2 linked regions of the Drosophila melanogaster genome follow. The protein of the gene in region 2 interacts with the protein of the main gene of each other region in a pairwise test. Each region holds a gene or a part of one and is shown on either strand. Other genes may lie near its edges. The genes, in order: RpL22-like and djl.

Region 1 (3,663 bases), on a different chromosome or scaffold from region 2:
CGCCTCCGCACTGCCAATCCCATTTTCCGCTTTCCATCCGCCCATTTGCTACCGTTTAGCCAGATTGATTTCGGGCCAGAAGCCGCACGACTCCGCCGATCATTCCTCCCACTTTTCGCAGGGGGCGGAGGGCCGTCACGCCCACCGTTGCAGTTTTCCCATCGCCCAATCGCCAATGCCGGGCCCATCAATCAACTTCGAGTGCTCGCAGTGAGCGGGAGGTACTCCACTTGCTTCTACCTGCCTCCGAATCTCTGCATCTCCGAATCCGCGAGGAGGACGCGGCAAGAGGCTGCGCCTGGGAGCGCTTTTGGTTGTAAAAATCGTTTCGGCATCATTTTTCATATCCGCAACCGAAACAAAACCGCCAAAAAAAAAAAGAACCAAAACTACCAGAAAACAATATCCAGTCGGCGGCTGGGAAATCGAGTAGCATCCTAACTGCAGGAGCTTCATGCGGCGTTGGAAAAACAGTGGTACGTACCCGAAATACCCTAGGGTTGACTTCTCCAATCTCTATTGCGAGTATGGAAAGGTCATATAAATGTACCAAAGTCGCCCTAAATCTCACTCTTTTGGTTTCTTCTTTTATTATAAACAATTTAGGATGATCCAAAGTCCATTTGAATAGTAATACCCTCTGTTAGGGTATGAGAAGGTGGATAGATGGGCTTGGGTTATGTTTCGGTGGCCAGGGGTGCGTATACGTGATCGCTGCATTTCTTTGGACGTTCCGCGACGCTTTGTTTGCGCTGCCATCGACACCCCTGTCCCGCCCCTCCTGCCATCCTTTTTAAGCCTTGTTTGCTCTTGGCAGTGGCAAGCGAAAGAGACGGCTGCAACGAGACAGAAAGAGACAGCACGAGGGAGAAGGTTTCGATGTAGCGCGAATTTGTTGCAATTTCTCATTGTCAGCGAACGCGTTCGCCGGTAAGTTTTGATTAAACGCTCCGCGGGAATTCACTTTGGCTTGCACTTTTTGCTTTTGTTTTTATTTTTTATTTTTCCTGCCGATAGGAGGTGGCATCTCCCATCCACAATCCCAAATCCCAGTTGGTGGCCAACTCTTTCATTTGAATTTGATAAATGGCGCTCGTTGCAAAGCGATATGTTATGCAATTTAGGGATTTCCTTGTGGCTTAAAAAATATTGAAGCGATAGCTAAATGTTTGTACAACTCGGAAATAAATGAACTGGCCGACAAAGAGAGTGGAAGGTGATGACACTTTAAACAGGCTTTCGGAATTCAATTTGCCTAGCATTGGGAAAAGTTGAGCTATCTCTGTGGATTCATGTGGATTCCACTTTGGTAACTTATCTCGAACCTGTGTGCGCAAGTTTAAATCGATTTCGATCCACCACAATACCCTATAATAAAAGAGCTTAAAAGGGAGCTGGTATAATATGAAAACTACAAATTACTGAGGCCGAACTGGAGGCGAGACGACAAACAAGGCCAAATTGATCCCCGGCTGACAAGCGGTAATAATAATTTCGTGCCAATTAATCAGCGTTAAATCAGAGCGTCAACATCCCAACCTGCTCCACACTCATTTCTCGTGATTTCACTTAAAGATTTCCTGTTTTTTTTTCACAAACATGCCGCCCAAGATAATCGAATAATTGGCATTCGCATTCTACGTAAGCACAGTCGATTGTGAGCAAGGTCACACGGATCGCAAATGCAGTTACTTTCTGATTGTTGCTACACTTGGCCACTCTAATTCTTTTCCTGCCAAACTTCAACGGAGGAAGTCACGTGGTGTTTCTAAACCTATTTTTGATACTAATTTCTTTGGAGTAAGTTAATTGTTTCAAAATTTTAGGCGTGTGCTCATGTTTTGCCATATAGGAATGAGTTCCCAGACGCAGAAAAAGAATGCTTCCAAGGCCAAATCGAAGGCGGGCCCACAGCCGTCGAAGAAAGCCCCGGCTAAGGTGACTCCTGTAGAAACCGCCACCCCATCTGCGGCTCCGCCTTTGTCCTCTAAAAAGGTGGCCAAAGCTCCGGCCGTGGCACTAAAGAATCTCGATTTGGCCATGAAAGAATCGGCTAAGAAGGCCGCCGAAGCTGCTGACCAGAAGTTGGTCTCGAAGGCGAAGAAAGGCCAGAATGCTTCACGCAAGAACTTGATGCAAGTGCCGGAACCCGTTGCCCCTGAGGTGGACAATAAGAAAAAGTCTGCGCCTCCTAAACGTGGCAATGCGGAAATACCCACGGTTGTCCCCGCCAAAAAGGCCGCCCTGGTGCAAGAAAAGCCCAAGGAACAAGCTGCCGCAGCACCAAAAGCCGAAAATGTCGAGGTTCCAGCAGCCAAAGCTAAAAGTGTAAAAAAGAGCCTCGCCACTCCGGCAAATCCGAAGCCCAAGCCGAAACGCACGAAGAATGTTCTGCGTGGAAAAAGGCTGGCCAAAAAGAAGGCTTGGCAACGCTTTGTGATCGACTGCGCATGCGTGGCCGAGGATATGATCCTGGACCTCGCCGACTTCGAGCAGTATTTGAAGACCCACATCAAGATAAAGAACAAGCTCAACCAGCTGAAGGATCAGGTCACTTTCGAGCGCACCAAGAACTTCTCGCTGATCATCCACTCCGGTGTGCACTTCTCCAAGCGCTACTTCAAGTATCTGACCAAACGGTATTTGAAGAAGGTCAGCCTGCGTGATTGGTTGCGGGTAGTGTCCACGGCCAAGGACACCTTCGCCATGACCTACTTTAAGATTCAGGACAAGGACTTTGATGACGACGACGACGACGTTGCCGACGACAATGGCGGAAAAACCTTTGCCTAAAACAAAGATCGCATTTCGAAAACATGTATATCCCATGAAAGCTGTTCAAGTGTGTAGACTTCTTAAATTTCTCAGTATACTTCTGTTAAATTTCCCACTTGAAGTTTCACTAGTTCTCAATGTGGCTCATACAATTTTTGCTCATTTGCTTCAACATATTCAACGATGAAATATCAATAAAAAAAAAAAAAACCCTAACAAGAGTATATCATATATGTATGTATTCTCATCCGAAGCTGCAGAGTTCCCTTGAAGAACTTAAAGATTTCATTTTACGGTCAGTTAGGAGGAAGGAGCGGAGCGTTCCTCGGTCGAATCGACTTAAACTTGAACGATTGACATCTCGGAGAGGGCCTCGAGTGGCATTCGTCATGTTTTGATTGGGAGGAGCCAGTCTTGTTTTCCTTACCTTTTTACGCTTTTGTAAATACCTTAAATTGCCCCATTGGACGGGATTGTGTTCGATGCCAGGCGGCTTAATTGCTTCGCTGTGGGTCTGCCAAATGGACGAAACCATGGGTGGGGATCAGAGGGTGCTCCTCTGTCAGCAGTTGGCCCGGCCTGGCCGTAGGTGGTCCATAACGAGCTAATGAAATGCGAATCCAGCCAAAATGCGAACAGCGAGGCAGCCCAGTGGAGTGAGTCAGGCAGGCAGCTGTCAAAATCGAAATCAACCTGAGCACTCGCAGGTTGGCTTCTTTTCGACTTGGCCAAAAGAACACAAAGGCTGGGCAAAATATTCACGATTGCCGCCTGGAAGGGAATACAAAGCGAAAATAAACATAAACGTCATGCAAATCGTATGGTAATTGCTGTCATCGCCGACTCTTGTCAAAACGGGTTGAAGTGTTTTGTAAATGCCAGAAAAAA
Region 2 (3,799 bases):
AACGATTGCATTTTTCACTAAATTAATGCATTTTTGATTTAATGCAGAACTAAAACTAAACTTTACAACTAAAACAGAGATGAAGAAATGTGCATTTTTTGCTTCTGAAATCAAGTGTGGGCGTCTCTGAAGTCCCGGGAACTCATCGTTTATACGGACAGACAGATGGACGGAAGGACATTTTCAGATCGTCTTGGGTTATGGTCCTAAAAGTATAATAAGAAACGCTTCATTCTTCCACTTTTCTACAAATATACCCTTTAAATATTCTAGTAAAATTCTTTAAGTGTAAGAAATAATTTTCTATATGGTTTAATGAAGTTTGTTTTGCTTTGCAATTCGTTTTATTTATTTCTAGCAGTCAATTAAGTTCTTTTGGATCTAAGAGTTTCGTGGGAGACGATAAATTTCTCATTAGATTGATTTTGATCTGATGATCTGAGATAATAATGTCAGTTAAACTTGTATAGTTTTGGGGGCAGGTTAGATCTCAGATTCAGTTTAGATCCTGATTCCACAGACAAATAGTCTCCAGCTGTGGTTTTTTCAAAATTCTTTGTAAAACTTTTGGTACAAAATTTAAAAATTTTTCTCGAAATGTTTAAGAGAACCGCTTTAATTTTACGTCGGTGCTTTCAGCCCACTTTTATACGGCCTCACCACATCAATGTCCTTGAGAACTTTAAGGAAGGTATGCAGTGAACTCATATGCCTGGTTACCACTTGTTACTGTTAATACTACTTCACAACCGATGACCTTCCCAATCAGGGGCAAGCAAAATTTGTCGATGTCTCTATTCACGATCCGCAACACATTCGTTCTGCACTCGTCAGTCCAATGCAACGAAAGTTCTTGCAAGACCTGGAGCAGCAACAGACTGTTAGGATCAAGTGGTTTAAGGAAGGGAATCAGGATGAACTTGAAAACATGAAAAATGAATGCCGGAGGCTAGCTCTAGAAATCATCATGGCTGCTAAAGGTGGCGACATCAAAAAAGCCTGCAAGGAACTGGCTGAAAAAGAAAAGTGCAAGCAGATAGAACTGAAAAAGAAATGCAAGGAATTGGAGAAGAAGACGAAGTGCGCGAAGAAAGACCCTTGCAAAAAGAAAGATCCTTGCAAAAAGAAAGATCCCTGCAAAAAGAAAGATCCTTGCAAAAAGAAAGATCCTTGCAAAAAGAAAGATCCCTGCAAAAAGAAAGATCCTTGCAAAAAGAAAGATCCGTGCAAAAAAAAGGGTGGGGACCTAAAAAAGAAGTGCAAAAAATTGGCCGAAAAGGAAAAGTGCAAAAAACTGGCCAAAAAAGAAAAAATGAAAAAGTTGCAGAAAAAGTGCAAAAAAATGGCTCAGAAGGAAAAATGCAAGAAAATGGCTAAAAAAGACAAATGCAAGAAAAAGTGAAGCTTTCGCGGATTATTCAATGAAATACATACGTACCTGGTTTAATTCATTCAGCTCTGTTCAACGCGGCTTTATCTAAAATATGGTTTTTTCATAATATACAATACGGCATTTTACCGAAAAATTAGATTTTATTTATTTAAAAAAATAACAAGGGGGAAAACAGTTAATGAGCATGTAACCCCCAGCTTTCGAGTAATGAGTCCGTGGCAAGATTTCGTCGTTCATACGGACAGACTGATAGTCAGACGGTCATGTTTGTTAAGGAATCTATCTATATATATATATATAGATTTATATATCATATAAATAAATATGATTTAAAAAAAAAGAACATTGCTTTTATAAACGTAAAGTTTGGAAGTATTTGCGGCTTAAATATGTAATTAGAAATTAGTGAAGTGTGATTACCGTTGAAACGGATCTGAAATCACATATTCCTTTTAAAGTTTAATTCTATTATTATTCATTGGTCAGTAGGAATCATTCAGTTCCTTCTGAACTTCGCCTAATGTGTAGCTTAAGAAATCACATTAGATAATTTTTAGCACTTCCACAAGTTTTCTTAGACGAAAACGTCAACATGTTTGGGTAGTGTTCAAAAATTGTGAAGTTTGGTTATTTCCTTTGCTTAGCTTTTCGTTAAAAATTCATTTTCCACAAGAAAAATTCTAAATTTACCGTTATAATGCTAAAGAGACCTGCGTTAGTTTATCGGTGCCTTCAGACTTCTGTTAAAAGGTCCTACCATCTAAATGCACATGAACATTTAAGAAAAAAAGGTAAGAGCTCAAACGGTGACCTCTTAAATAGATAACTTATACTTGTTCGTACTAGAAATTCTCAAGCCCGAAAGCCAGCCTAGTCAAAAGCATAAGAAATTTGGAGACGGCTCCATTGGAGTGATTCATGTGATCAAGAACGAATATTATGGGCTCCCCAATCCCATGCACCGAAAATTCCGGGAAGATCTGGAGAAACACCAAGACCGGAGGAAGGAATCAAACCTTTCGTTAAAGGAAGAAAAGCGTGAAGATCTTGAAAAGATGCTAAAGGAATGCCAGAAGCTTGTCAAAGAAATCACCATGCAGGCTAATGATGGCGATGTTACGAAGATCTGCAAGGAACTAGCCCAAAAAGAAAAGATGGACAAGGAAAAAATAAAGAAAAAGTGCCGAGAGCTGGCAGCAAGAGAAAAATGTGAAAAGGATAAGCTGAAAAAGAAGTGCAAGAAGTTGCTCAAGAAGGATAAGTGCAAGAAAAAAGATACTTGCGAAGAAGAGAAGCCTTGTGAAGAAGAAGATCCTTGCGAGAAAAAAAGCTGTTGCCCCAAAGATCCTTGCGCTAAAAAACCCAAGAAAGTTGACCCCTGCAAAAAGAAAGATCCTTGCAAAAAAGAGGATCCATGCAAAAAGAAGGCTGTAAATTGGAAGAAAAAGTGCAAGGAGGTTGCGGAGAGGGAGCAATGCAAAAAGCTGGCCGAGAAGAAGAAGTTTAAGAAAATGATAAAAATATGCAAAAACCTTGCGGCGAAGGAAAAATGCAAAAAAATGGCCGAAAAAGAGATGTGCAGGAAAAAGGCCAAAAAGGGGAAAAAGAAGTAAATGGACCGATCAAAACTAGCGCGGACTCATCAAAAAATCAAAAATATGGAATTCTTTAACATGTTTGATTGATTTGTGGTTAATAAAAACTTTTCCCATCTGGCTTTTCAGTTCGTAAAGTGTTCGAAAATTCTATATATTATCCCGGAATATATACCGTATATATCGTATAGTCAAATGCAACCTTATGCCAAATAAGACTTTCTTGAGAATGAGTAGCTTAACAATAAAAAACCTGGATTTTCAGTATATGCCGTCATGATTTGTCTTAGCCGTCCTAATAAAAAAAATTCAGTATATCGACTCCGCATAAGAATATTATTATTTTAATAATAGTCTACTTCACTATTTCACACACTTACTGTGATAATTACGTCAAATACAGGCCCATTTACTTCCCAGTTTTCGGAACATAATGGCGCAGATCGGGTCGAAATCCTCTTAGTTTTTGCATTTTAACCCGATTTGTTCTTAAAATTATCTGTTAAATTTTGGAACCAAAGCATAAAAAACATGTTGAAAAGAGCCTCGCTGGCGTTGAGCCACTACCCTGATGCCTGTTTCCGTGTCTGCAATTGTAGCAGGTGTCTCCGGATGTATCACATAGTGAAATGCATGAAGGATCTGAATCTTGTGCAGAAATCAAAACAGGACTATGGGAGAACGCCGAAAGAGCTGCAGAGCGTGTTGATTTGCCAGGAAGGCCGGTTTTCTAAACTTACTCATGCTTCTGCAAAAAAAATGTATGATTCTCGTCTTTTGTCTTCAGGTACTTGTGATACACTTAGCCATC

What was found.
Region 1: the proteins of djl (region 2) and RpL22-like interact in a two-hybrid assay, tested with the Drosophila melanogaster proteins (one large-scale study listed by BioGRID).

What each region holds. Positions count from the first base shown.
Region 1 is NT_033778.4:23,245,915-23,249,577, reverse strand, and holds RpL22-like (ribosomal protein L22-like), read left to right. Parts: upstream 1-1,684; 5' UTR 1,685-1,800; intron 1,801-1,852; 5' UTR 1,853-1,854; coding exon 1,855-2,793; 3' UTR 2,794-2,968; downstream 2,969-3,663.
Region 2 is NT_033777.3:7,058,801-7,062,599, forward strand, and holds djl (don juan like), read left to right. Parts: upstream 1-1,966; 5' UTR 1,967-2,090; coding exon 2,091-2,184; intron 2,185-2,239; coding exon 2,240-3,006; 3' UTR 3,007-3,119; downstream 3,120-3,799. Other genes in the region: dj (don juan), read left to right, coding at 668-691, 770-1,402; Mst84B (Male-specific transcript 84B), read left to right, coding at 3,520-3,799.